Linked DNA regions of Nothobranchius furzeri. The protein of the gene in region 1 interacts with the protein of each later gene in a biochemical or structural test. Links are inferred from orthologs where the notes say so. Each region holds a gene or a part of one and is shown on either strand. Other genes may lie near its edges.

What was found.
Region 2: the proteins of synaptosomal-associated protein 23 (region 1) and stx2b form a complex in vitro, tested with the Homo sapiens proteins (2 studies listed by BioGRID). The link is inferred for Nothobranchius furzeri from reciprocal best matches to the Homo sapiens genes SNAP23 and STX2.

What each region holds. Positions count from the first base shown.
Region 1 is NC_091758.1:23,386,203-23,390,572, reverse strand, and holds the start of synaptosomal-associated protein 23, read right to left. Parts: upstream 3,081-4,370; 5' UTR 2,862-3,080; coding exon 2,854-2,861; intron 1-2,853. UniProt on the Homo sapiens protein: Essential component of the high affinity receptor for the general membrane fusion machinery and an important regulator of transport vesicle docking and fusion.
Region 2 is NC_091757.1:34,784,707-34,788,988, reverse strand, and holds the start of stx2b (syntaxin-2), read right to left. Parts: upstream 3,074-4,282; 5' UTR 2,812-3,073; coding exon 2,782-2,811; intron 2,712-2,781; coding exon 2,634-2,711; intron 2,571-2,633; coding exon 2,471-2,570; intron 1,942-2,470; coding exon 1,867-1,941; intron 1,793-1,866; coding exon 1,719-1,792; intron 1,629-1,718; coding exon 1,520-1,628; intron 1-1,519. Other genes in the region: adgrd1 (adhesion G-protein coupled receptor D1), read left to right, coding at 4,241-4,282.

The DNA.
Region 1 (4,370 bases):
ATTTATTATGTGTCCCCCCCCCCCCCCCCAGTATTTAAGGGAAAACACGTTAGTTTACTCTGTTTATGGAGTGAAAGAAAAGGCAAAATGCAAAATATAAACAAAGCAGGTTCTGTTTGAACTTCAAGTAGCATTAAGAGACTGAACACACACACACACACACACACACACATGGTTCTTACTGATAGTGTGTGTGTAAAGCGAAGATGAAGTGAAGTTGAAACGATTACTTGAGTCATCAGAGAAGGAAAAAGAAAGCTGAAGGTTGAAATAAAGAAATCAGCCTTGAGACAGAATAAAAGATATTTTGATAATTTATACTTGTTAAATGTTTAACGGGAGTTTACTCTGGTTTAAAAAGAGAAATGATCAAAATCCTAAGCATTACTGAGTGACAAATCAATAAAAGCATGATTGTTTATACAGATGTAGATGCTGTGGGGTTAGGTGTGTAACAATGTTTTGTATTTACCCTGTAAATAGTAAAGCACATCCATGAACCAAAGAAACATAATATAAATGTTTTCATCACTAATTGGACTGAATTTGAACATCAGACGGTGTTTTTCTGACATGAACTCCATTAAAAGCGAACGCTAAACAAGACACAGCCATGTAAACAAAACATGAATAAAGGCCACATCTGATGTGACTTAAGCTGTGTGTATTATTCTGATATTAGTAGCCTCACATGTTTATACTTTACTCCCACTATTACGCCCTACTGCAGCTCTGGTGGCTTCTGACGGCACAAAGTAAAGCTTAAAGCAGTCAGGGCCGAACAGGGAGATGTGTGAGTGAAGAAGAAACTCAAACTGTAAGAAGTTGTTTCCTTAATGTGTTAAACTCCACAGAGACACAATGTCAGGCCTGATTAATGTCGCTGATCAGATTTTGTAAACAAATATGAATAAATAAATCATGTGCAGGTCGTAAAATTTTGACAATGTGATTATTTTCCTTTCTAAAATGAGGTTGTTTTTCCACATTACTGCTGTGCAGCGTCGCTCTTGGTGGCTCCCAAAGTAATAAGTTAATTATTAATGACTTCTGCTCGGTTTGTTTAACTTTGCACACCAGTTTGGGTTATTTTCAGCATTCTGAGCTTTTAATTTCATCAGTTATTCTTTTTGTTTACCCGTTTTCTTCTGTTTTAGAAACAACGACACTAGGAAGTGGAGAAAATGTCCAACATGCATGAGTCTAAATGTTAATTATGCAATCTCAGCTAAACCCATTTAGGCTGGACACTTACGCCAGTTTGGTGACTCAACATGTAGCTGCTGAGCAAATCAGGATAACCGTAACCACTGGCTGACAGCTCAGAGCAGGCTCTGTCCAGATCTGAATTTAAACGCCACCGTCATCAAAAGCTGGTGACTACAGCAGGAACCGTCAACGTCCGGACGTTTCGCACCCTGAATTTAGTTTTCATCTAACAAAAACATGAACGGACTTCATAAAGTCTGAGCAAACATGGAGGATGAAGACAGATGATTAGCATTAGGTGATAGGTGTTGTGTCACTGAGGCCAGGCCCAGAAATGGTATTAATAACTTGGATCACAACAAGAAAAATGACAACAGTTTAAAAGAGACTATCTTTAAGGCTGGAGTGACACATCTGGTGTAGCAGCAGCCTTAAACAGACTTTTTCACATGACACGAGAGCTAGTTTGTCACAGGAAAAGGCTCAAGCCTCTGCTCTCTGACACAGGCATAAACACGGCCCGTTTTTTTATTCCCACCCAAACGTTTTTGATAACATAGAGGAAGTAAAGCTCTATCCGCTTTTCTGTTTCTGCTCTTGTCAGACCGCTTTCCTTTATAGTTCAAGTGACATTTTCCTGTTTTGCAAACGGCCTCTGGACTTCAAGATTCCCTGTTAAAAGCAGGAAAAAAAATGAGACGGAAAAAGTATAGTCTACTTGGCAGATAGTTCGGGGGATTTAATGTTGTTGACTCTGCATTTTTTGTTTTCTTTTTTTATTAGACCACAGCGCAGAAGGTTCACACAACTCGTGACAGTTTTTTTTCTTTCTTCCCAGAGCACTGGTGTGACTTTACAACTCCAACACTAAATTTATTTACACGTACAATACACAAGAGCTGTAAACAACAGAAATGTAACCGGTCAATAGGGTCAGTTTGAGCTGATTGTAAGTTTAGAGACGCACCCCAAAATCAAATCAGTTGATTGGCCGTTGATCTGAAATTTGAAAGATGTATTCTGTAAAATGGGGTTAATTGCAAACTGCCAAAATTTGTATCAGCAGGTCAGAGCTGCATTATCAAAAAATTAAACAAAGCAAATATGGATGATTCTCTAATGATGTTACCCTTTAAATAAATGTGGTCATTTGTCTGCATTCCTATAAATTAATTTAAAACCAGTGAATTTAGAGCACCCCGTAGACCTGCTTGTGCTGTAAATCCAATCAATGAACATTTTCTAGTTGTAACACATTTTAACAGTGATTCTGTGTTTGTTGGCGTTCTAAATAACATTAACTTTTCATGCTCAGTTAGTCAGGAATTAGAAGAAAGTTCAGGTAAAAATGCTTCAGGTGTAGGAAAATTCAAATGATAACGTCCAGCTGATGTATTGCGTACGTTATTGATCGCCATGTTCGTGAAAACTCAGACTCGTGTGTAGATATTGCATAACTCCTTTTAGGGAACTGGTTAAGCACACATCAAGCAGGTATGCTGGATTTATAAAATACTTAATCTAATTAAGTTTTTAATATAATCTAGTTTTAGTGAGGACTATAATATAGACATGAAAATAACCCAGAGACCTGAATTAACAGGCGCACATGTAAAGGTTTATGCAGAAGTTTTAGGGACATACCTGCTCATGTTGTAGACTCCTCACAGCAACAACAGAAAGTGACAAACAACAGAGAAAAGCGTTTCTGGTTATTCTACTCAAACCTGTTCCTCCAGATCTAAACTAATGCTGAACAAAGTGACGTCTTTTCTTATTCTCATCACGTTCACCTCGTATTTTTTATTGCCTTTTTTTTACTCTCTGGTCAACTTTATGCTTACCTTTATAAGAAAACCTTACAAGAAATTTGTTTAATTTGTTTTTATTTCAATAGGTAAATAAACCGAGAACCAGTGTTCAAAAACAAGCTGACCAATGACATCATGGTGTATTTCCATTGCCTGAACCATGACCTTTTATTTCCAGATTTATAGATGACGCTAATAATCCAAAAGTATCAAAACACTGAGTGTGAACTTGACAGCTGGCTATTTATTTCCGCAATATTTAAAATAGGAGCTACTTTGTTTCCACTCCTTTGCCATGACAAAAGGTTATGTCGAAAAGAGCAATACAAAAGTCAAATATTGTAAAACAGTGCACTCACATGACAAGAAAGTATCACCTGAGAAACAGGTGATGTTCAGCTGAAAGAGACATATTAACCAAAACACCTGAGCCTGAAAATAACACACCCACGTTAGCAAAAGTTATGCCCTTAACAATAATCAAAACGTCATAAATAAGTTTAAACAGAGGAAAAATAAAACTTTATGAAGTTTTCTTACATTGTCCAAAAAGTTGCAGTAGCTCCCCAGCTCTAATAAAGGAAATAGATCCTCTGGGCAACTTGTTCACCTAGCTAACGTGCTGTTAGCTTGCTAGTTTTGTTAGTTCCGCTTCCCTGTCAACCCCCTAACGACAACACCCAAACTTTGATGGGAGGACAACGTTAAGAGATACTTATCAGGTCTGTTAATACTTACTGTTAACCTTCCTTGTGAAAAGACCGAACTCGCAACTCCTCCTTTCGCCACGGTATGTAAACTTGGCACTGGTTTGACCAGAATTCCTCCACTGAGTTCGTCGTCTGGGGACTTGAAAGTATGTCGGTTGGTGCATTCATGTACCCTCGGAAATATAGCTTTCTTCAAGGTGAGACGCTTCAGAAGTTCTTAAAAGTAATAAAAACACGTTTAAAATAGTTCAGAAGCTAACTGTGATAATTATAAATCTTTTTTGCGTTCAAAAATTTCACATTATTTTCACTACATCAAAATTCAGTCATATTTGTTTTTTAATAGCTTGTTTATATCTGAAGGTATTTAGTTTTAGCTCTTTAAAAAGAGGAATGAAAATCATATTAAATTCGTTTATTTATAGGAACAAACACTGTATTTAACCAGACTGTGTAAAACTTTTGGTAGTTATGTTTCTTGTGCTTTGGGTGATCTAAAACCAAAACGACGAGTACTTGAATGCAGCACAGGATGGTGCTGTCATAGGACTCCAGAGAGGAGAAAAAAAGAGCACTGCTCAAGTTCCCCACATGAGTGCAGCATTTACCCTTCACCCAGACCCCCCCCCCCCCCCATATT
Region 2 (4,282 bases), on another chromosome or scaffold:
TAACGAGTGAGTACAGATCACAATGATAAGTAATGAAAGGGGCACCACTGAAAAAACGGATTGCTGAGTGATAAATGACATTAAGTTTATGAAGAAGTTTTTTTGTAAGCGGTCCTATAAATGATGTCACCGTAATCTAAGATGGGAAGGATTGTTGTTTTGATCAAAGTTTGCTTTGTGATTCCATTTCATTTGTCAACAGCACCGCCATTGCCCCCTCAACCTAAAAAGTTATTTAGCTGCAGACATTGAAGAAAGCTTCGTGGAAAACGTCCAAAAGTATGAACATTCATTAAAGGAGTACAAAGATACGCAGCAAACATTTTTTTTTGGACGGATTGCATGAGCAGGTGGAGGAGAACGAGGGACAGATTTATCCATGTTAAAAAGTCTCTGAAACCCATGAACACATTAGTAGATACACTATTTTGAAATGGGCGCATGACCGAGATGGTGGCAGGATACCCCAGAAAAGCGCTATGCCCTCTGCTGTCCTGAAGGGGAATTGCTATGCAACTCTCCCAGGTGGCAGAGAAGTCTGAAGGGAAAACACCTCCATCAAAGTGTGTGTGTGCCTCCACACTCGAGATGATGGAGAAGTATACATCACCTTCACTCTGTCAGCTTCCCGGATGTTGAGCTAACATTTGATGTGAATGTAGCTGAGAGTCGTTCATGTCACTCTCTCTGGAGTTTGAAAGAGATTGCATGTGGTTTAAGCAAAACGTTATAATTTTGTCATTTCTTAATAATTGTAGTTCAAATCTCTAACATGAAAGGCAACATAAGACCTTTGAATGTGTGTGAAGTAAGACTGAAGTAAGAACAGCATCTTGTGGTCAAACGTGGTTACTGCAGCCCATTTTACAAACACAAGAGGGACTTTCTCACTCCCGTTCTGTGAGTTTCATGGCTGTAGCGAGCTACGGCTCAGCACCAGAAGATTCTAGATGACGAGTCATACACAGAAAGTAGATAAATATTTTTGCTGTAATATCAAGTTGTTGGTAACTGAATTAAGTATCTTGAGATGTTGTTAGAGCTGGCTAATTTGTTCTAATTCACTGTCAGCATGGTTAGCTCAACATTAGCCTCTGGACTGCTTCACCTGATATTAGATCAAAAGAAAACACTTCTTAGGGGTACAAGAAATAAGTTCTGGGTCACTCCGGTTGCTGGCTTAAGATATTTACAAAATGCTGCTGTCAAATCACAAATGCTGGCGCTGCAGCGTTAGCTGGCACAGAATGGGAAACGCTGTACACACATATTGTAAACAGTAACTACGTCCCTCTTTGGCCCTTTGAAAGAAGAAAAACTAACAACCCCTCCAAGCCGCTGAGTAGGAAACGTGTTTAACCATAACCTGGTTGAGACATCAGACTGTTTTGAGATTATTTCACTGTAGAATTCCTTAAAAATTCCTAATGATATTTTCTTCTTCTTCTTCTACTACTTATTGTACCTTTAATGTACTTCTAGATTCAACTCAGAGGTATCAGATCCTTGCAGGACTCACTTATCTCCAGTTGTCTCTGAATCCGTCCTTTGCTCCGTTCCCGAAAGGACACTTGAGTCTCATTATACTGAGTCATCACCTCCACAAACTTCCTTGATAGCACAGTGTGCTGAAGACAAGTGGAAACATGGCAGCAGAGTCTGAGAATGTGCTGCAGGCACTTCAGAAGCAACACTTGTGTACAAGAGCGAAAACCTACCTGGGTATTCTGGATCCTGAAGTCGACAGATGACCTGTTGGCAGCATCGTCCTTTGGCATGCTTTGCTCCATGGCTTCACAGGAGGAAAAGAGCTATGATTACAGCATTACCAGATTATGACAACATGAACGTTTGTCCTAAACTCACATTTTAGTTTTGCCCGCACCACATTGGCATTCCCTTTGATATTACTGGTCAGTGCACTCAGCTGATCTTTTGTACCTTCAAATAGAAATAAAGTTCACGTCAGTTTGCCTTTACACAGAAGAAGTAATTTACCTAATGAGTTCTTCTGTAAATATTGGATTTACTGGGATTTCATGTTGGCACCTAGCAACAAAACTGAGGCAATAAAGCAGCGGTCAGAAGGCCTTTGTTGCTTTGGTAAACAGTTACAGATGATGCTGCGGTGTTGTGATTTGTGGTTTATTTGTCTTGGAGGACTCAGCTCCTAAGGCAGAGAGGGGCCAGGAAATGATGCCTCACTGTTGCTTTATATGTTCTCAATTTAGCGTCAAAGCATTTTAAAACTTTGAATAATACTCTCTCAAAGGTATCCAGTCCAATCCAGACTCAAACGTTTAAAGTCTCTGAGGTTTTGGGTGGTTTCCTGCAGGTTTCCAGCCTGAGAGCTTCTGAGGAAATGAGGCATCTATTGTTTCTAATTCTGCACAGACAGTTTGACTCTGTCACTTCAAACATAAAAGTAATATAAAGAACTTGAATAAAAGCACCATGATCTGATTCTTACCATCAGTTGGGTTGGGTGCAGACAGGATCATGCTGTGCATCTTCCTCACCTCTTCTACTTGGTGGGAGATCTTATCGATGAGTCCTCTGACCTCCTCTACCTACATCATAACTTCATAAGTCATTCATGTCTAGGTTATTAAAGAGTTTACAGCCATACCCACCCTCCTGAAGTAGCCGTCCATGAAGCCATCCCCGCAATCCACCGCTGCAGCAACCTCTTCCTCAGTTTGCGTCTTACTCTGCGCAAAAATAGCACTTTTTGTGTTTTAAGTGACGTTTTTATGTGTCTGACTTCTGTGATAGACTTACAGCAGTCAGCTCAGCCAGTCTGTCCTTCATCCCCCCGGTCTCCCGCTCAGGAAGTGTTAAGAAATCATCCACCCCGTCATACTAACGCAGCGCACCGAGGACCGACGATCAGACGGTGTGTGAGATCAGCTGATGCTGGAAACAGTCCCAGAAAGAAAAGGAAAGAAAAGAAGGAAGTTGTCCTCGTTTCTCAGAGTTTTAACGCGAAACTCCAATTATCTGTTCGTCTAAATATATACATTATCAATAAAAGATCCCATAAACTGATTTCACTCTGCGTAGGATCATCAACTGCGCCTCGACGAGGATACGCCCACCACAACACACACACACACACACACACACACACACACACACACACACACACACACACACGCACGCGCGCGCGGTGGAAATACGTTTAATGTCTCCATAAACCGGCATATATGATAACATGACGTTTAAAGAGTCACCTTTCTGTTGCTACTCGAGTCCTATCGCCTACCCGAGGAAACCCTGGCGCACCTGTAGGTCACACGAGAAGGTTTAATGAATAAATAATAACGGGGATCGGATTGAATTGCCACACAAGCTGTTCTCATTTACCTGGCCACATGGGGGCGCTGTTTACTTATCCATTCTCTCTTTGGAAGCCCGCTGGAGCCCAATGGACTGGTGTCCAGCTGATCTGAGAAGTTTCACAACATTAAAGCGATAAAATTCAGATTTCACATTTATGATGACAGTATTCACTTATCAGTACTTGTTTATTTATTTCCTTGGTGGTGGTGGTGGTGTGTGTGTGTGTGTGGGGGGGGGGGGGGGTTAATTGTCAGCCCCCAAATTGGTCAGCGTGCTGTAATCTATATCTGGGATTTGGGCCGATTAGAAAAAGACCACACCCACATGTTCTGCGTAGTGTCCCGCAGTTTAACTCAAACCCCAAACAAATGAGGAGGCATCATGGTTGCATTGGAGTCTCACGTGTTTATTTGGATAAAACCTGATCTTATTAATTCCCCGCGAAATCTACAATTACGCACACACCGTGCCATTTACGCACAAAGTGAACACCCCTCCTTAAGATGGTCCAAAAAGTGACATCACGCTCTGTAATTCCCACGTTGCGTCCAGCACCAGCCTCCTCTGAGCTCCTCTCTGGTTTCCAGAATCAGCCACAGAAACTCCCAAGAAGCAGCTGTGTGAGGCTGAGGATTAAAACTCTACGCGTGGAAGTTAAAGATAGACGAATCAGCTATGACGGGAAAACTTTTCAAGCGTTCCTGCATCTCATCAGATCTCTGAACAGTTTTAATGCGATTTTAGACTTTTACTGTAATGTTTTTGACTTTGGATGCCCTGAATAATCAGATCGTCTCGCATCAATGCCCATCCCCCTATGGATTCATCTTTTTCTGGGGAATCAAACCATTTTGAAATTAAAACACTCATGGTAAAGTTCTCTAAAGTTCTCTAAAGTATGGAATTTTGTTTGAAAATTCTGCTTTTTACAACTTTTGTT